Linked DNA regions of Drosophila melanogaster. The protein of the gene in region 1 purifies or fractionates together with the protein of each later gene. This does not show direct contact. Each region holds a gene or a part of one and is shown in the gene's direction. Other genes may lie near its edges. The genes, in order: CG1105, CG4554, CG4004 and Sec3.

Region 1 (5,281 bases):
CGACGTTTTCGGGCAGCGTGTATCATTGCTGCATCCGGAATGGAACCACTTTCGAGCATCTGTTTCAAATGTTCTGGCTTGGAGAAACGGTGACGCGTTTTGTCATGGCCACCATCCTCGGATTGCTGGTCTTCTTCATCGCTCATATCCTCCCGTCCAGCGCAAAGGGCAGCTCTACCGTTCAGAATTGCCTCGGGAGTCTCAGATTTCTTTACCACTAGCTGGGGACAAGATAAGTAAGTTTTATATTATTGTGGATTCCTAAAGGACTTCGATTAGGGTGAAGCATTGGTATTCATGCTGCTTTTGTGGAAGGGAAGACATGCGACTATCAATGGTGGGAAAATTACTATTTATGTGACTACGTTAGCAATGGCTTTGATTTTTGGTAATTCAAAAAATATATCTTTGAATGTTACATAATATTTAAATAGTTTTCTTCTGGTAAGGTCAAGTTGTATGCGTCAATTTATTATCAAAGAAAGAATGAGTTAGAATGTTCTGTGATAAATTTTCTAATTCGTGGTCATAGTTACAGTAGTAGTACTTAAAGATCGCATTATAATTGGAAATTTTATGTTGAGTGATAGTTGGATCGCAGATCCTAGACACTTCCCATCACTGACCAGTTAAAACGCCAAGCAAATCAACGTCTAAGCTACTAATATTTTAAAATTGGCACTTCAGACCAGAAAAACCAACTAATTTAATAACACATTTAAACTCATTCAGCCTAATCTTTGCTGCTAATTGTTCTACGATAATTCAATGTAATTTCTGATGTTGAAATTTCGTTAAACGGTATTATTGTAGAAGAAATTGAATAATAATAACCTTACCACAAAGTCGTCTGTGCGTATTTCGGTTTGGATCATATGATTATCACTTTTTTTACTTTTACTCTGATCGCTGGCACTTTTATATCTGCCAGCATTGGCAGGATTCGAGTTGGAATTCGGGGGACCCGATGATGGGCCACCGGACGACTCTAAATGCTGTGTACTACCATTTTCGCCCCCGGGATGTCCGCTGTTTTCCGCCCGTTCCTCGCGCTTCTTCTTGCGGCGTTCCTTGTCCAGCATGCGCATCACTTTCTTGCTATGCGACGACTTTCGCACCTGGAACACCTCGCCGTCATCCTCTGCAAAAGAATTGGGGATTTTGGCTCCATACTCTTTTTATATTCCGGTATCACTCACCATCATCTGCGAAGCTGAGCAGCGCCTTTGGCTTGCTGTTGTCCTCCTGCGGCTTTATGGCCTTCCGGCTCTTCTCTTTCTCCCTCTTGCCCGAAATTATGGGAGGCGGTGGCGCCTCCATTTCGGCGTCCGGATCCAAGGATGCGCCGTCCTCCTCTTCGTCAGCGTTGCTGGAGAACACGCGTCGCTGAATTTTCTTCGGTTTGCGAAAAAGCGACATTTTCCACGATGTTGTTGTTACTCTGCGATTTGTTTAATCAATGAAAAATCGGAAGAAAAGCGAATTTTCGCAAGATCTCTTCTTCTTGCTGTCGTATTGTAATAGAGATGAAAATCTTTCGATGTCGTTCTCGTGCTCACGTGAGTCACGAGCAGGGCTGGAACGTTAATTCTCGGTCCTCGGTCTAGCACTTACAAAACTTTTCTGTATTGAAAATATGAATAGCTTTACAAATTTTGAAACTATTGTAACAATTAAATAAAAATGTGATAAATACATTAATTTGTATACCCAGGGCAGCTACACATAAAACTGGTCTTATTAAAATATCGGCAAGAGCTTAGATGACTTTTCATCCCTAGATACCGACAACGGCCATCTCTAATCTCTGAATTCGGCGACCGCAGGGCGTTTCAAAACAGACCGAAAAGTCGTTAACTTATTGGTGCCTTGAGTCACAGAATCTCTAACATGGGCCTTAAAGGTTGTGAATTGCAATTGGACAACCCGTGGAACACCTACTACGCCGGTCAGACGGTCAACGGCCAGGTGAAGTTTACGTTCGACTCGCCCAAAAAAGTCCGAGGTAAGTGCGAATCCAAGTCCCAATTGTGGGCAGCGCTGGAGAATGCTAATTAAAACCCCAGCTGCTTACTATTACTCATAGGAGTGACGACACCTGTGTAAGAGTCAATGATTAATTGGAAATTTAGTAAATAAATATACATAGCACTTTCGTCTTCAATGTGCAGGATGTTCACTGGCTGTCGTTGGTAGTTTCCTTGCTAACTTCTTAAAATCCTGACGCAAAAAGCCGGCGCACCACCCACAAATGTCGGTTGCTCTTTCGGTGCCTAAACGACCTTGTTTTCAGAAAGCTGGCGGTTGTTAAACCCTCCAAAGAAATGCACTTTCTCCTCTTTTCAGTTGGGCGATAACAACTATAAATAGCTCCAAGTGTGAATGAATACAAAAGAAAGTAAATAAATATGTAGTACATTTGACGGGGGCATGTAACCTATGTGGCAAACATTCCACCATAATCAAATTTTGAGGTCACCAAACACGGGAGACAGATGCTGCCTGGTAGCGATGATGTCATCCGTTGAGTATGCCTTAGAAAGCTTTTCATATTATTTATAGCTAAAATTAAAGCGCCACAGTGACGTCGTCGATTGTCATTCCGTAAATACAGCCACTTGTTTCTCGTAGGTATTATCATTCGGTTCCTGGGAGAAGCCAACACCGAGTGGTCAGAGGAGAAGAGCGTAACCACCAGCGAGGGCAAGACCGAGAACGAGGTCACCCAACTGAAGGGGCATGAGGAGTACTTTAAGATCCAGTACTATCTGCTGGGCGGCAAAAACAGTAAGTACAAAAAACAGACCGGGAATTCACTCCCCGGTTGCCAGACCTTAGTTTATCTGAAAAGAATTGGAGGATTTAATTATTGAAAGTGTCTATTATTAAGCATAAATTTTTGTATTCTATGGTGTAAGAATTGGCCAAGAAGATTTTTGTTTAAAATTAAATTTGTCCTTATATGAATCGAATAAATGGGATTGCACTTCCTCGCTCTATATAAAATAATAACTAAATCTTGTAATTACTATACACCTTATAGCATTAATAACTTCTCCTTTTGAAACTACAATAATTTAATGTTTTTATTTAGCTTTATTAAATAATATACCTTGACAGACCCTTCCTCTGCGCGTAAGAATTGAAAACATAATAAGCTATAAGTGACCTTTTTAAAATGCTAAAAGTTAAATGTATGATTTTGCAGGCTCTGAGACGGAACTACCGCCTGGCACTCACACTTATCCATTCACCTGTGCTCTGCCGCCTAATCTACCCTCATCCTTTGAGGGCGAATTTGGCCATGTGCGCTATACCATCAAGGTGACGCTTGATCGTCCGTGGAAATTCGATCAGGACATGAAGATGGCGTTCACAGTAATAGCGCCCGTTGATCTAAATCTCAATCCTCGAGTCAAGGAGCCATTCAAGCTCGAGCTAGAAAAGTCATTCTGCTGTTTTTGCTGTCGCTCAGGACCGCTGGCTGTCATCACGAACATCCCGCAAACAGGATTCGTTTCGGGGCAGGTGCTGCCCATCACCTGCGAGGTGGACAACACCAGCAACGTAAATCTTACGGCAGTGAAGTTTGAACTGCGTAAGCTGGTCACCTTCCACACAAACCAGCCACGGAGCGAGAAGCGCGAGTCCAAGGTGATCATAGCCAACTTAAGTGTTGGCCCAGTCAATGGCGGCGAGTCTCGCACGTTTACGCAACAAATGGAGATTCCGGCGCTGCCACCGACCAACCTCCTCAACTGCGGGATTATCGCTTTGGACTACGACCTGCATGTGGAGTGCGAGGTGAGCGGTCCGCACCGCAATCTCACTGGCAAGGTGCCAATCACCTTGGGCACTATTCCATTGGCTGGCGTACGGCCACCTACTCAATTTACGGATGCTCCGTCGGCGGTTCAGTCCGAGGATCCATCGCTGGCGCCCACACAGCCAGTGAGCCCGGCGAGCCCTCCTGGCGGCGATGGCGTGGGTGGTGCTCTAGGCTGGAACGTGGCTGACAGTACTGGTGGTGGTTCACTGTATCCTAATATACGTGAGTATTAAAATTATGGAGTTTTGTGGATTTTCTTTTAAATTATAAAAGCTTCTTAGTAGGGTTATATATCTTTATTTATTAAAATATTCTATTTTCATTTTGCAGCGCCACCGCAGTTTGTGGAGACACAGTACCGGGCACCAACGATCGCCGGTAGGGACGACTCCGAGCATACGCAGATGATCGGCGACGGAGCCTTCGCACCTCGGTATCCGACTTTCCAGTTTAATAATGCCACAGCACCGCCAGCTAGCCAGTGATTGAATCTCTAAGCTAGACCCACAATGATATTCTTAAACTTTGATGTCGAACTATTTTCTTCTGGCTGTCTCTGTTTCTGGAGGGTTAGCTTTCGCAATTTTTATCGGCTTTGCATTTATGAAATATTAGCTTTCCGTCCAAATAGAAAGCATAAACAGGTGCAGTCAAAATAAAAAAGGTCTACCTATACAAAGTTTTTGAAATGCTTAACTTCTGTTTATAATTAAATAGCTTTCGGACAGTAAATACAAAGAATTGGGTCTTTATTATTTTGACTGCATCTGTGTTTAATTTAATAATCGTATAAATACGCACAATTGTCAATTCCGATTTAAACTGCTCAAATTTAATTTTTTCTGTTTTTTTTTAAGCCAGCAATAGTGCCTAAAACTGATGTACGACTATAATCGTAATAAAACACAAAAGATAATGAAGGTTTGATACATGGGCATAGCCAAATCCTGGGAGCCAAAAATGTGTTGAGCCTTGAGGAACTTGTTTTATACGGAGCATTGGGAGATTTAAGAACTTGGAATGATGGTGCTATCGTTCCATATTTACTTCTTCTTTTTCTTGCAGTATTCATTCAGTTCCCTGGCCTTTCTTGCTTTCTTCTCACACTTGCACTGTTCCTTCAGAGCTATTTTTTTGCATTTGGCCTTGAGGATCTTCATCTTCTTTTTCCTTTGTCTAAGCTTCTTTTCGGCTATTTTTTTGCATATCTGAAAAAGTCCTTCGGGATTGGCTTTCGGCTTCGGTGGTGAGGGTGGTGCGGCTTTAGATGGTGGAGGGGATGGATTAGCAGCTTTTGGTGGTTGGGCAGGAGGCGGAGATGGCGTTTTAGCGATCTCCTTCTTCACCTCCTTCTTTACCTCCTGTTTGATGTTCTCTTTGACATCCGTTTTAGCTACTGGAGCAGATTTGCTAGCATTCTTCTTAACTTGGGCTGCTTCCTTGAACTTGTAT
Region 2 (4,840 bases), on another chromosome or scaffold:
TCACGCCGGTCTTTTATGAGTGAGTAGTAAAGAAGTTTTTGTGGGTATTTGTCCAGTCAGACTAACATATATAATTTCTTCCAGAACTCATCCGCGACCAGTTTTCTTTGTGGCCTCCCGTGGTCACCATGCGGATATTGGTGGAATTACTCCTGGATCTATGCCGCCGCATTCCACCTCGTTGGCCCAGGAAGGTGCCGCCTTCAAGTCCTTCCTGATTGTAGAGAATGGCCTGTTTCAGGAGCAGCAGATCATCGAGCAGCTGACCACGCCCACGGCAGCAAAGGGAGCTGTGGGAACCCGGAACCTGAGCGACAACCTATCAGATCTGAAGGCTCAGATCGCCGCCAACCACAAGGGCATCCAGCTGGTGGCGGAGCTGATCGGCAGCTATGGATTAGATGTGGTCCAGGCCTACATGTCGCACATCCAAAAGAACGCCGAACTGGCGGTTCGGGATATGTTGCGTCAGATTGGCCGGGATACTTTGGAGCGCACTGGATCGACAGTGCTAGAGGCGAAGGAGTTCATGGACGACGGATCACCCATCGCCCTTAAGGTGACCATCGATGCGGAGCAGGGTTCGGCTCTTTGTGACTTCACCGGATCGGGAGTGGAAGTGTGGGGCAACTGTAATGCTCCGCGGGCTATTACCTTGTCCGCCCTAATCTACTGCCTGCGCTGCATGGTGGGCCATGATGTGCCACTCAACCAGGGCTGCCTGGCACCCATCCAGGTGATCATTCCGAAAAACTCCATCCTGGATCCCTCAGAGGGAGCAGCTGTGGTCGGCGGCAATGTGCAGACATCGCAGCGCATCGTAGACACGGTTCTGAAGGCTTTCGGAGTTTGTGCCGCCTCGCAAGGATGCATGAACAATATAACTATTGGGGATGAGTCTTGGGGTTACTATGAGACTGTGGCCGGAGGAGCTGGTGCTGGGCCCGGCTGGCATGGAGCCGGCGGAGTGCATACCCACATGACGAACACTCGCATCACTGATCCGGAGATCCTTGAACTGCGCTATCCCATGATCCTGAAGAGATTCTGCCTTCGCACCGATGGCTCCGGCGGAAGAGGTCAGTTCCACGGAGGCGAGGGTGTGGAGCGGGATCTCCTCTTCCGCAAGCCAGTTACCCTGTCCGTCCTGACAGAGAGACGAACTCTGCAGCCCTACGGTCTCGCAGGTGGAGAATCCGGGAAGAGTGGACGCAATTTGGTGGTGAAACGGGATGGTCGAGTGATCGCTCTGGCAGGCAAAACCTGCATTGATGTGGAAGCTGGGGTATACTTTGATATGCATTTATTTGTAACTCAACTAACTACTTATCCATCCTTTTCAGGACACCTTTGCCATGAAAACTCCCGGCGGGGGTGGGTATGGACCAATTGAAGACTTTTCCAAGTCCGGTGAATCCTTGAATCAGGAAACCAGCAAACGATACGTGGAACGAGGAACTGTCTTTAATTATCTTCAGTGCCAGGAGTCTGCCTAAGCAAATTTTTGATTTCGCTTTTATATGTGCCATATTAATAAATGTCCCTTGACTTTTGAAACACTGAGTTATTTTTTTAAAAGACCTTATCAAACAAACAAACTGAGTGGCGCATATTACAGCGAGCTGTGGAAAATTGCATATAAAATGTTCAGTTAATATTCAATTAATTTTTATTTAATGAAGATTCTATAAAGTTAAATTGTTTCGAAGACCATTTAAAAAAGTGCGCCATTTCGGAACGATATGCTGTACTATCGATATTTTCAAGCGAACATATGTTTTCAGTAAGTGCAATCGCCGACTGTCTATCGATAACAGTGCGTAAATATGTTTCGCACGTGTTGCATTTGAAAGAAAATTGTCCGTAAACAAAAGAGTTTTTTCCGTAAATTAAGCAGTCGAGTGTAAACTGTAGAAACATGGCATCTTTAGCGGAAAAAACGAAGGACACCAATACCTTTCGGGTGAGTGTCCCCAGAAGTCTCGAGTTGTTTGGTGACCAACCGCCTTACACGTTTTTCACCCGCAGTTCAAATCTTTCGGAGATCGGGTGAATGAAATCGACCTGCGGCACTTGGCCCTCTACCACATCGGCCATCGGAACGAGGAGCTCGACGAAGAGGAGAATGCCACCTACTTCCAGCAGACGATTCAGAAATGGAACGTGCTCAATCTCTCCGAGGAGTACAACTACTTCAGCAAGCGCTGTCGCAAGATAGTCACCCTGCCGCAGCTGCTGCACCAGAAGGATTTTGTTGTAGACTTGCTCCTGGAACGTCTTTCCACCGCCACGAATTTGTCCCAACAGCCGCTGTTGGAACTGCTCTATGTCCTGGCCAAGGATCTCCGTGAGGAGTTCTACCCGTACTTCCAGCGAGTCCTGGACCGACTTATCTGCCTGCTGAACACCCAAGACTCCGAGCAACTGGAATGGACGCTCATCTGCCTGGCGCATTTGTTCAAGACGCTCAAGCCTTATTTGAAGCGCAACATAGGTGTTGTCTTCAATGCAATTCTACCGCTTCTGGATGAACAGCACTATGCCGAGCATGTGACCAACTTTGCGGTAGAATGCTTTGCCTACATTGCTCGTGATGTCCGTGATTTCCCGCGTTTCCTGACCTATGTGCTGAAGACTGTGTTGCGTGAGCAGGTGGAGAGTGTCCACGGCTGCGGACGACTCATCTACGAAATTCTGCGCGGCGTCAACGGACAGCTGCACAACTCGGCGGCCGAAATCTTTGCCCACGTCCTGGAGGTGCTTGTCAACAAGGATTCCGCTCACACCAAAGACCAAACAGAACTTTTGGGAGATATCGTGGAGTATTCTTTGGGTCTGCTGCTCAACTTTCTGCGCTCAGACCAAAGCAACATTCTGTGGCAGAAACTCTGTTCGGCTGCGAGCAGTGAAAGCGTGGATGAACAAAGGGTTATCGACTTAATGCTTCCCCTGGTCACCCACAAGGATGGGCGATATGTCTCCGAGCTTCCGCTGGTAGTTGGCACTCTGCTAAAGCTTTTGGACCGGGAACTGGATCCTCTTCAGCCCTTAACAACATTGGTGACCAGTCTGTTGAAGGCTCAGCACACTCAACTATCCCAGTTGGATGCCAGCCGTCTGCTGCAAAAGCTGTTAAGCATAAGTCGAAAACAAGTGACCGTGTACGAAGACGCCATTCTGCAGCTTCTGGACTATTCACAGTTTGAGATTCTGGTTCTCCCCAACGTTATTGGGTACTTTGAAGAACAGAGGCAATTAAGAGCGCGGGAGTTGCTGGCTCGCATCGTTCTGCACAAACGGCCGCTAAAAGTTGATGGTAACTCACTGGCCCAATGGGTGGCATATCCTCTCCAGTTAAAACAAAAGGACACCATTAAATTAGTGGAACAAGAACTTCTGCACCTAGACCTGACCAAAGAGGAACATCTACTTTTAATCATCCTAGTTCCCCATTTGAGGGGTTTTAACAAGCAGCCATTAGAACAAGGATTGCAATCAGTTATTGAAAAGCTCATATGCGATAACGGAAAGGATTTTACACAACTGCTCCTGCTACTTCAAACTCACGCACTGCTCAAATTTAACTTACCTAAGAGTTTGCGATCTTCTCTTAATGGTTACCTTATTCCTGAACTGGGAAAGGACATTCGAGCTTTGGCTTGCTTGCAAGTGGTTCTTTTACAAGGCCCCAAGAACGAGCTATCCACTTCAGATGAATTACTTTTCGGAATTGGAGGTCTTCTAAGCCAGCCTGTATCGCTATACAGACGCATAGCTGCCCACTGTTTGGATGTGCTTAACTCCTCGAGCAAACCAAATCCGTATTCCCATTTTAATGCCGCCGCCTGCATCGAGCCCACTGTCCACAATTACCGCGAGCTACTCCTCCAACTGCAGCAATTGGAGCCGGCATCTGCTCAGTTCAAACAGTTCTCCCAGTTGCCACATTTCAAGGAGCACGCCGTTAGCCTCTTACTTGGCCTTTTATACAACAATTTCAAGTTTGTGTGGGCTCCGGTTCAACAGCTCCTGGCTGCCTACGTCAAGACCATGACAGTGGATGAGTTCTGGACATTATTTAAGGCCAAGTTAGTCGATACTGTTGCCTGCATAGACTACAAGAAGGAAGTTACAACATTGCAAGTGCCATATCAAAGGGACTACCAATCGGCAGCACTAACCATGCTCCTGACTTTGCCTGGGGAGCAACAATTGACCCTTCAGCAGGCCCTCAACTACCGCCAGCTTCTATGGCAAAGCGTGCCCAAATTGGGCACACTTGCTGAGGTAAAGAATGCTGATTTGGTGCGATTGTTTCTGCAGTTTGTGGATAACGAATATCGCGCACAATTGGAGAAATCGGAGCATACTTGGAATGTGAACGAGGCGACGGGTAAGTTAATTAAATGAATATCCATTATCCATCAGTTTTTCAAAGCTGTTCACTCTACTTTAGCTGCGGATATTGACGTTGAGGAGGATGATGAAAATGAAAACAATGAAACCAAACCCGAGCCCCGAGGCCGTCAAAAGAGGAGAACCCAAAATGCCCACACAAAGTTTATTCTGCAAACGCTTCAGTTAAAACTTGCCTGTTTCGTATCCCAGCCCAACCCCAAGGCTTTGCATCGTCAGGCGGAGATGCATGACTTTTATCTGGAGCTTCTAGCCGGCCCTAACTCCCAGTTACAACAATTGGCTTTGGATTGCCTTGCGGCCTACAAGCAACCAGCAGCTCTGGTGCAACAAAAGGCTCAGTTATCGGGGCTTATTGATGAAGAAAAATTCAAAACAACGCTCAGTGGTTTCGAACTGTCGAGCATTACGGCTCAGCAAAGAT
Region 3 (4,929 bases), on another chromosome or scaffold:
TGATTTTCGTTCTTGCGTATGTACCACATCCCCCTCCCCGCACTCCTTTGATAATTTTCATTCGTCTGCGTTCATGTGTTTTGTTTTTCCTCTGCTGTTTTGTTTCTGTTTCTGTTGCTTTTGTTTTTCTGTTTTTGCGCGTTTTTTTTTTTTGTCACTTGCCAATTTGCAGTGAAAGTGAAATGCGCTGAGCGCAGGCGGTTGGAAAAGCGGGCGGGGTTATGCGGGGTCACGAGGGGGTGATGAGCGGTGTGGGAATGGTGGGCGGCAGATGGAAAGAGGGCAACGGCCAGCCTAAACGGGAAAAAAATTGAGTTGAATGCACACGTGCGATTTACCTGTAATCGCCCAATTCGGTTGCAAGTTCGCTGCCACTGATCAAACCGATTTGCCCAATGCGTTTTATTCTAAACTGTAATTGCCTTTTGATGCTTAATTTATAAGCTTAAAAATTGCGACATATGTACATATGTATATAATCTATAAATCGATCAAAAAACGTTCATACATTGCTTTTAATCTATCCGCGTTTTTTGTTTTGGATTTTCTTTGTTTTTATTAGTGTTTTTCGCCCTCTTCCCCCTTTTTCTTTACCTCTTTCCGCTATTTCCAGCTCCCCTATTCGTTGTGGTTGTTTTTGTTGGCAACCGGCCGGCGGAAGAAGACTTGCAACATTTTTTCTAAGCTTTTCGCTTTTTTCCAATTCATTTCGCTCGACGGTCGCGCGACGTTGCCGTTTTTCAGTGCGAAATAAATCGAGCAGCAGGGCACACAAAAGCCGTAACGTCGCAACATGTTCGAAGCGAACTGAAAAGTGACAACGTCGCGCACGCTTGACGGCATAGGAGAGCAACAAAAAAAAAGAAGAAAACAACAGCAAGCAAATGCTGGAACAGTGATATTTTTTTTTTTTTTTTTTGCTAACAAACATACGTAAATAACAAAAGAGTCACAAGCCGATGGAGTGGACATAAAAAACAGGCTCGCACACGTTGCACTTGCATGACACGCCGCATCATACAGCAAACAAGCGAAATGAACAATCATCATACCGAAAATTGTATAATACCCATTGCGACTTTGTCATTCTCTATCATTCAACGTCAGACCGTCGAATCGAGCGTGAAAACGTGCAATAAAACCAAAGTTAACAAAAACAAAAAAAAAAAAACCAGACTACTTAATGTCCCAGATGGGCGGCACATGCTTGTACGATGAGCCCGAAATCATGGAGGAGTTCATCAGCTGTTATCAGTATTTCACCGCCCTGTGGGACAGCAGCAGTCCCGATTATCTATCGAAACAGAAAAAGGAGCCCGGCTATCAGGAGCTATTGAAGATACTGCGACGCGTTAATAGCAACTGTTCGATTCAGGATGTTAAGCGAAAGATAAACTCGCTGCGTTGCTGCTATCGTCGTGAATTCAAAAAGGTACAGGAATCGGTCAATGGCTACCAGACGCGTCTCTGGTGGTTTCATCTGATGGATTTCCTCAAGCCGGTACTCAACATACAATCGCCGGCCAGGGTGAAATCCGAGAACGTGGACGATAGTCTCGACGAGACCAGCATTCAGGTGAGTTACGACCGCAATGCGTGAGTGTTTACATAGTCCTTGGACTTCTTTATTGGATAAATTTCAAATTTAAGTAATTTTCATATAAATAGGTAGATAAATATATTTGTATATACATAGGCAATATAGGTAACATAGGAAATATATTTATTATTATTATTATTTGTATTATTTGTTGGTTTTCATAAAGTATGCATGCATGCATATGCATGTAGGATATGAAATGATCATATGTTAAGTCTGGCAGTTCTGTAAAATTAAGCGTATGTATATGTATAGAATCTGGTTGAATCGCGTTTGACGTGGTTTGACGGCGTTTGACGGCGTTCGCAGGACAAATGAAACGCCGGTCGTACGACCAATTTACGATGCAAGCTTCAGTCGCGCGACGGACGTTAGACAGACATGTCGCACACGCACACGGCGATCGATTTTTGGAAGAAATTCCTCGGGTTGTACCGTTCGATGCCCGAATTGTGGCTGGTGCGCAGTAAACTGTATCGCGATCGCCAGCTGAAGCTCGAATCCTATAGCCGATTATTAGAGCTGCTACGCACGACCGATAGCTATGCCAATATCCATACGCTCAAACGTAAGATCAACAATTTTCGGACCTCGTATCGCCGGGAATTGCGAAAGGTGCTGGATAGTGGGAACACATATAAGCCAACGCTTTGGTATTTCAAAGAACTAGACTTTCTCTATGAACTGGAAACCGGTGAACTGCAATTGGAGGGCATAGTGGCCGCCGATCGGGATTTGGTTCGAAATTCGAAAGTCCTGCAGAATGAGTCAAATAAAACGATAACATTCGGAGCGCAATTGGCGGAACAGGAGGTATCAATGAGCTTTATTGTGAAGCGAGAAATTGAAGTTGATGAGAATATAACCGAGGATATGCAGCAATTGGAGACCGAAGTAAGTGATCTATGAAGGAATTTTATGGAACTTCATTATGTAGGGCATATATGTATATATGTAGGTACCAGAGATCGGCACCGGTGCCTGATTTGAGCACTACAAGTATATTCGCATAAAAAGCGGTGGCGGTTTAAGTAACAACCGCATCAAATGCGTTTGCGGTGTTTTACCACCGCATTGTCTGTGTGTGGAACACAGACAATACACAAAAATATGCGACGGAATAGGACACACTCAAAAATGTATTCTGTGTCTTTTACGCGCGGAAGTCGCACACCGCGTAGCAGAATACACATGCCTAAAATCGACCAAGGCCAATGTCACACACTTAGAAGAATGACAATGTGCAAGAACAAAAAAAAAAAAAACATTAAGTTTACAGTTGCTTTTGCATATTTCCTTTTTGTAGCCTTTTTTAAGCCCGGTGCATTGGTTTTGCAATATTTCTATTCACTGACTTTATTACTTGTGAGAGTCTTCAGTCGTTGCGAATGTAGCAGAATGTCGGACCACGCATTTATCGCCGAGCAGATTGCAAGTGGCCTTTACTCCTTGGAGCCCAAGCTCAAGGGAAAGAGTTTCGTCTGGAATGTTTTAAGCGGGATTATTAAGGATGATGGATCAATTTTAAACGACTTGGTTTACTGCCGCTCATGTCGAAAAATTCCTAAAATGTGTTGGCAATCAAACTTCAAATTTAGCCAGGCACAAATGTTGTCAATCTTTTCGGCAACCAACTGCCCTACGGATTGTGTCTGCTCCAGACAAAAAGGAGGCGTTGAATGCAGTTTCCAAGTGGATTGCGGAGGACTGCCGGCCGTTTTCGGCTGCGGTGTACTTGTAGTTGCGGTGAACTAATGCAGATCTCTAGTACATATGTAGATCTGTGTATTGTGGATTTAGTATTATCCATTATATACTTATAGTATTAGTATAGTAATACAGTTAATCAAAAAAAAGGGATACTGATATATTTAATTTAATTTATCTACTTTCAGGATGTTGACATTATGTCTGATGCCTTTCCACACGAAGAGGATATGCTACGTCTTGATGCCGTGGGTGATGGCGATGTTGAACCGGAACCCGAGCCTGATAACGATCCCGAATTGGATAACATGGATGATCATGTTGATGATTATCGTAACAATTCATCGGCTGGGAGCATTAAGAACAATGGCTATCAGCAGCACACCGTATCTTCGCACCAGCAGCATAACGGTGAATCGCAGACTTCGGATAAATCCGGACGTCGCATCCGTAACCGACGAAGACGCAGTAGCAATGACACCGATTACGTTGAAGCGGCGAGAAAGCGTAGAAATGTGGAGACTTCGAATAGAGATAGAGACTGGCATAGAGAGCGGGATAGGGAGCGAGACAGAAAGCATGAAAGCGACAGCGAGTACGAGTGCGAGCTGATCGGAAAACGGATGGCCAGCCACTTCCGGCGTATGCGTCCGGATCAGCGACTTTTCGCCGAACGGATCATTAGCGAGGTGTTGGTCTACGGCCGAATGAATCGCCTTTCGTTCGAGACCCAATTTAGTATGGGTCATAAATAAGTGAAACTAAACTAAAACTCATTTCGCATATGAAAATGCGATTGAAAACGTATGAACGACAATTTAATTATTTCAAATTCTATCTTTAACGATCATTTCATTTGGCATTACGGTTTAAAAAAAAAGCATAATATTGAACGACAAAATGCACTATGTCCGTTATAGCAATAATTAATATTGCATAAGAAACAAAAATGTAATTAAGTTAAGCTGAAAACTCGACAATATTTTTAAGTTTTCGTAGTTTAAGTGGAAAAATAGATAGAACCGAAATGAATGATATTTTTAGCCGCCTGCAACGCTAAGCAAAAAAAAAACCAAAAAAAAAAATGCAGAAATGGCAAATGTAAAGCGAAAACGGCTAAAAGCGAAAATGCGATGCAAAAGGGAAGGAGAAGAAAAGGGCAAAAACAAAAAGGATGAAAGCAAATAAAGGAACTGGTTGTTATTCATTTAAAATTTGACTAAGTGGTTCTGCATGCGGATCCCTTCCCCTCTTCATCCCCGCCCCCTTTCCCCGACAAGCAGCCAGCACATCTTGTTTTGTCAGCCTGCCTTCTTCTTTCTTCTACTTCTTCATCTCCTCCGCCTTCTTCCCGTTTTGCTAATTTTCTGCTGCTGTGCTGCGATTCTTTTATTTCAGGTTTCTTTGCCTTGCCGCTGTGTTCTCTTTTCCTTCTTTACTCCTTTTCTTTTCTACACACTCCCAATCTTTTCCTTTGCCGTTTCCTTTGCTTTAGTAACTTTAATTTGTTGGCATTGCCATTGCCGTTATACTGGCGTTCGTCTCTTTCTCGAAATCTATCGCGCCCTCTCGCACTGTCTTGCCCTTTCACTCATTGCTCTATTATCGTTACACAGCCAAAT
Region 4 (5,878 bases), on another chromosome or scaffold:
GCTGATCGTTTTCAGAGTTTAATAAACGTGCAAGCTGAACAATACAATCGGAAATAAGTGTTTCTAAACAGAATACAATAAATTAAGCATTTATAATGGCAGGCCGCGGAAGGGGCGGCAAGACAGGCACCCTCACGGCGGAGCAAATGGCCATGTTGGGATGCACAAAGGATATGCCGGTGCAGACGGCGCCGCCACCTACATTTCCGCCTGTTTTGAACAGACCCACTACCCTAGAAGTGGGTACAAATCCATTTACATTAGTTTAAAAAACATCGATCAACTTTTTACCTGTTTTACTTCGATAGACAACAGCCACACAGAACTATCAGCTCCTGTGGAAGGAGGACTTTCTGAACCGAATGCGAGATTCCCCCTATTACATGATCTCCGCCAGTCGGGACGCAAAAAACCTTGATCACAAGGACTGGCGAGAAGTAATAATACTGGCTATTTTAAATTAGCTGCTTATAATCCTGCTTTTACACCCCCAGAAAGCCATGGAGCGCATGAAGCTCACAGCACAACCCGATTTTAACTACAAAGCCATGCCCCAAGAGCTAAACATCTCCAGTCGAAAACGTCGTGGAGCAGATGCAAGGCCGAATCTGCTGACCAAGAAGACAAACATCGAGGACAGACTGAAGGTTCTGGAGCAGAAAGAACTGAAATCAGGTGGCGGTGAGCAGGACGAGAACAAACAAGAGTCCGATTCCGAACAGGAGGAGGAGGAAGATCCGGAGGCGGCGTTGGATGATGAGATGGACGAGGACAACGACTACGGTGCAACGTACTTTGATAATGGAGAAGCCTTCAATGATGAGGACGACAACTTGGACGATGGTCCCGTTTACTGAGACAAATAAAACCATCGAACTGATTACTTTCGGATCTGTGATTTACTATGTCGCCACTTTAAGCTTATTTAACACAAATGTTGGATTAATTTACACGTAAGGGAACGCTGGCTTAGTCCAGGCTCTTGGGCGCGTAGTAGTTGAAGTGGATGATACCAGAAGATTTCACCTGCAAAGCGTATTTCAATAAGACCGATATGGGATGGAAGGAATATGGCAGCCACTTACGAATCCAATAGTGCCGGCCAGGACGAGAATGCCAGTGATGAGCGCGGCATTGTACTTGGCGTTCTTCTGGCTGTGCTGCTCCTTCCAGTCTCCAGCGGGCACGGGCAGATCGTTCATGGTGGAGTGGGGACCATGTCCACCGTGGTAAGCGGCACGCGACAAAGCGCCAGCTGAAATGAGAGAACAAGAAAGAATATTCAAGTGATTGGTTTTAAAAAGGGGGTAATCCCAACGAAATGCAACTTGGTTAATGATCTCATCCAAGTTTCTTCCGATATCTGTTTGGCTAATTCTGATAATATCCATGGCTATGCTGAAGATTGGTGGGTGAACCATTCCTTCGCAGTTCCTTGAAGTTTCTCCCTTTGCTTATCCACATTATGTAATTTTTAAGGTTAGCAGTTTTGCTGAAAAGAGGTGTTGGGCCACTCCAACTCACCGTTCTTGAGCAGAAGCCCCTGCTTGACAATGTGCTTAACCAACATGATTGCTCGAAAGTAGCTGGAAATGGGTAAATATGGGTTTATTTTCACTGCCAATACTTTTTCGCATTATAACTCACCCGAAGATTACCTTGTGTTGAACAGTGTGACCGTTGTGTTGTTATAGAATAATATCTACCCTACAGTTGGGATGAGATCACGAGCTGCATACTTGTTATTACCTACGATGCGATGAAACCTTCAATGTATCTATTATACTGAAATGTTTAAATAACAATATGATTTAATACATTTTAATTGGTTTCTGTAGTCTTAGCATATTTTTGCTATGTGACTTTTAACCACGTAAAGAACACTCACGCAATGCGCTCATCCCCAACCGATAGTCTGTAAACGCCTCTGCAGAAGCTCTGTTAAATCAGCTGTTGGTGCGGAGGCGTTCTCCAATTGCTAATTGCAAGTGCAAACAACTGGCCAGTTGTTGATTCTTGAAAGGACTTTATTCGAGACCAGTGCATCCCGAAGATATACCCAGCCATGCTGTCCATTGGCGCTATGGCCAACATCAAGCACACGCTGCAGAAGGAACTCTTCTTGGCCTCCGGAGAACGCCTCCTTTCTGTGGTGACGGTGGTCAAGAAGAAGGACAAGAAGCCGTGCTACCTTTGCGTTGTCACCACGGCGCCACCGGTACCCGTGGTCACTTTGTGCCTGATCAAACAGTCGGAGCAGCGCGAGGGCGAATACAAGCGCAAGCGGAGCTGGCAGCTGGACGAGATTAAGTGGGTTGACGGCCGGAACGAGCAGTTCGAGACGCACGAGTTCGATCTGCAGTTGGAAAAGCTGTACAAATGGTACGCCCTTAACCCTCACGAGCGCCAAAACTTTCTGGCCGTGCTCAATCGCCAAATCCAAAAAAGCGTGCGTGGCCAGCGGGCGGAATTCCGGAATGTGCCCGCAGCGTGGTTGTCGGAGAAGTCGCCGGAAAAGGTGGCATTGGGCAGAGCGGTTCAGAAGACGCAACACATGGACGACGAGGAGGACGAAGAGGAGGAGGCCCAGGAGTTTACCGCTCTGACGGACAAAGAGGCCAATGAGCTGGGCAAACTTTTCTCCGAGTGCGACTTCGCCATTAAAGATGCTGAGCAGTTCATAGAGCAGCTGTCGCGTGAGCTCCACGATTTGGATGGGGTTAGTAAATTGGGCTTGTCCACCGTGTATACATTACTCATAATTTCTTATCTCGCAGGCCAATATGCAAAGTGTACTTGCCTCGGAACAGAAGGTTCTGAAAATGATGGAACACATCGACAATGCTATCTCCGAGGCGGATAAGTTTGAAAACCGTCTTGATAGCTACGAGGACATTCTGGGGCATGTCAAGGAAACCATGGAGAAAATTGGAGGCAAAAATGCCATGATCGAAATTGCCAACAATAACAATATCAAGCTTATGAAGGAGCTCAACAAAGTCATAGTGCGTATTCTTAGTGTACTCAATTTTATACTGTTTAATAATTCTGCTACTTCTGCAGAGTCAACTGGATCTGCCGCACAGCCAGCAGCAGGCTCTGGATGAACCCGATTTAAAGACCGCCAATGGACGCAAAGCAGCCATTGCAGCTGCTCAGTGCCTGCAACAGGCAATGAACAGCGATATAGATCCTGCTCTGCTGCGTTTGGAGGCGGTGCAGGACCAACGCAAGCGCTTTGAAAAGTGGAAACAAAAATTCTCTGCCACGGTCAGTCGGTTTATGAACAACCTCTTCATCCACCTGGGCAATGAAATAGGAGACATGCAGGTGACTAGCACTGAACTTACGCTGCCTAACCATTCCAACGTCCATCGGGAACTGACGCCTTATACTGAGCTGATGCACTGGACAAAAGCCATGGATCGGAAGACCTACGATGGTCTAATGCGTGTGTACACAGCATCGCTGAGCAAGATCTATGACAGGGATGTGAGGAACTTCTTCAATTTGGTAAGACATGAACATGGAAATGTAATAGTTTGTAATCTAAGCTAATCTCGATCACTTCTGATTATTTTATAGGCTAAAATTCAGGTGACGGAAAAGCTTCGTAATTCTCGGGAGGATCTGGACATGTCTACGTCTTCAAGAAAGTCCGCAGTTTCCACAATACCTTATGGCACACTGGGAATCAACAGGGATCAGTGGGGTCCCGGTGTAGAGACAGCGGATCGAATGCGTTTTGATGCATTGTTGGAAAAGGTTCTAGCTGAGCTGGAACCCATCGCCCTGCAGGAACAGCTTTTCTGCATCAACTTTTTTCAGATGGACGTTATTAGTCCAACGACAAAGAACACACAGACTACGTTGGAGATGGAAAAGGCGGTGGATATGACACAGTCAATCATATCAGGAGCGGTTTCGCCATCAGGTGATGGTGTTCCGCAGAAGCGGATTGACCGTCAAATTAACGAAGATGTGCGTAAACTGATGATGGGCCTTTTCGGTTGCCTAGAACCAGAGCTAGTTAGCTTCATCCAGAGCTTTGAGCGTGTAGACAGCTTGTAAGTAAACAATATAGTAATGGAGTAAGGAGTAATTAACAAATTTGTTTTCGTAGCTACTCTCTGTACGTTTTTGTGCGACTTACGCAGCACGTCATGTCCGCCCAGGACACACATTCCTTTCTTAGCATGACCTTCGCTTCCGCCTTGGTGCAGGTGAAGCGGAGCTTCGACCGCTTTATGCAGAACCAACTACTGTCTATCCGGGAGGCAAAGCTGCACAAACGTTCTAAGGCCATTCTGCCGTATGTGGAAAACTTTGAAAACTTTGCCCAAACTGCAGAGGGCATATTTCGGAAATCGGATCGCCGAACGGACATGGAGAAGTGGTACTTGCAGCTGGTGAATGCCATATTTGAGGGCATCCAACTGCATTCGCAGGAGCACCCCAAGACACCAGTTCAGGTAGTGCGCATGGAGAACTACCACCACATGTACGCTTTGTTAGCCCAGCTCAAGGTTCCTGGTCTGGACGCCCTGAAAAAGGAGGCCAAGAAGTGTTATAACGATGCGCTAAAAGCGTATGTGACTCAGTACTTCGGCCGGCCGCTGGAGAAACTGAATGTAAGCCAAAGTCAATGACCTTCCAGAAGAAAAGATAAGTCGATCTTCATCTCATAAATTTCCGTTCTGCCTTTGCAGCAATTCTTCGAAGGCGTGCAACTTAAGGTGGCCCAGGGAGTCAAGGAAACGGAAATCAGCTACCAGATGGCATTCTCCAAGCAGGAACTCCGCAAGGTGATCGCTCAGTATCCTGCACGAGAGGTGAAGAAAGGACTGGAGAACCTATATAAGAAGGTGGAAAAGCACCTGAGCGAGGAGGAGAATCTGCTGCAAGTGGTATGGCATGCCATGCAGGAGGAGTTCATTGCCCAGTATAATTACCTGGAGGAGCGCATCCAAAAGTGCTACGCCGGCGCCATGATCAACCTGGAGTTCAACATTCAGGACATACTCGCCTTCTTCTCGGACATAGCGCGCTCCCACTGATCTAGGGATTGGAATCTGAAAGTCAGGGAGCGGTTCAACCGGGTTTTATTTTTAAGTGCAATAGTATTTAAAGCGCTGTTTCTGCTGATTGCAAAATATATGGCGCGTATATTTAAACAGATGTGGATCTGCGAATGTTCGAAACGTCCAAGAGAGAGGGATCGCGTAGTGAAAAATCAACGAGACTAGGCCTTAAAGGGAACTTTTCAACAGCTAGCCATTGAAGTTGATTATTGTATAAGTTCTAAGCTAAAATTACATAGCCAATACTCAACTTTTGTCCAAGAATGCGAGTAAACTAAATTTTATATATAAAAATGTAGAATTTCTAGAGATCTTACTTGATCTTTAGTACGTCAGCTTTTAAAAATCACAGATAGAAGTTTGACTTTTTGTATTTATACTTTTATAGTATAACTCTAATTTACTACCGTGCACATTCAAACAGCCTCCTAAGGTCAAAGAGAGCTCTTCAAGATCAAAAGAGATAGATCATAGCCTAAAGAGAGAGAGAGAGAGAGAGAGTGCTCGAAGAGTGAGCTTTCCGGGGTGGCTTTTCGTTCGCCAGCCGTTGGAGTTCGGGCTGGTGCTCCCAGTCAAGCCGCGCGACTCTTTCGCATCGGTTGTCGCCTGTCCGCGTGATTTACCCAACTGCAGTATAAGCATTTTATTTCGTGTATTTTAAATTGTTCTAGCCGTACGTGTTTCCGTGTGTGCTCATGTGCCGTGTTGATAACTCCGTGAAATGCAAATGGTAATTGCAAATGGCAAATGGCAAACGGAAAATGGAAGAAGCCGCAACGACTTGCGACTGAATGTGG

Evidence for each region.
Region 2: the proteins of CG1105 (region 1) and CG4554 purify together in Drosophila melanogaster (affinity purification with mass spectrometry, with the first as the bait; one large-scale study listed by BioGRID). This does not show direct contact.
Region 3: the proteins of CG1105 (region 1) and CG4004 purify together in Drosophila melanogaster (affinity purification with mass spectrometry, with the first as the bait; one large-scale study listed by BioGRID). This does not show direct contact.
Region 4: the proteins of CG1105 (region 1) and Sec3 purify together in Drosophila melanogaster (affinity purification with mass spectrometry, with the first as the bait; one large-scale study listed by BioGRID). This does not show direct contact.

Annotation. Positions count from the first base shown.
Region 1 is NT_033777.3:7,063,648-7,068,928, reverse strand, and holds CG1105 (uncharacterized protein), read left to right. Parts: upstream 1-1,792; 5' UTR 1,793-1,890; coding exon 1,891-2,005; intron 2,006-2,631; coding exon 2,632-2,787; intron 2,788-3,208; coding exon 3,209-4,051; intron 4,052-4,159; coding exon 4,160-4,314; 3' UTR 4,315-4,743; downstream 4,744-5,281. Other genes in the region: CG1965 (uncharacterized protein), read right to left, coding at 1-221, 840-1,141, 1,200-1,419; Mst84B (Male-specific transcript 84B), read right to left, coding at 4,873-5,281.
Region 2 is NT_033778.4:22,481,501-22,486,340, forward strand, and holds the start of CG4554 (uncharacterized protein), read left to right. Parts: upstream 1-1,802; 5' UTR 1,803-1,918; coding exon 1,919-1,963; intron 1,964-2,028; coding exon 2,029-4,393; intron 4,394-4,456; coding exon 4,457-4,840. Other genes in the region: CG4752 (uncharacterized protein), read left to right, coding at 1-19, 85-1,285, 1,344-1,496.
Region 3 is NC_004354.4:12,743,374-12,748,302, forward strand, and holds CG4004 (uncharacterized protein), read left to right. Parts: upstream 1-1,942; 5' UTR 1,943-1,981; coding exon 1,982-2,494; intron 2,495-2,943; exon of another isoform or gene 2,944-2,998; coding exon of another isoform or gene 2,999-3,346; intron 3,347-3,495; coding exon 3,496-4,062; 3' UTR 4,063-4,380; downstream 4,381-4,929.
Region 4 is NT_037436.4:17,421,287-17,427,164, reverse strand, and holds Sec3 (secretory 3), read left to right. Parts: upstream 1-1,947; 5' UTR 1,948-2,065; coding exon 2,066-2,719; intron 2,720-2,777; coding exon 2,778-3,005; intron 3,006-3,063; coding exon 3,064-3,513; intron 3,514-3,585; coding exon 3,586-4,067; intron 4,068-4,123; coding exon 4,124-4,631; intron 4,632-4,709; coding exon 4,710-5,057; 3' UTR 5,058-5,378; downstream 5,379-5,878. Other genes in the region: Polr3G (RNA polymerase III subunit G), read left to right, coding at 96-239, 309-437, 495-857; COX7B (cytochrome c oxidase subunit 7B), read right to left, coding at 970-1,026, 1,086-1,255, 1,525-1,570. UniProt on the Drosophila melanogaster protein: Component of the exocyst complex involved in the docking of exocytic vesicles with fusion sites on the plasma membrane.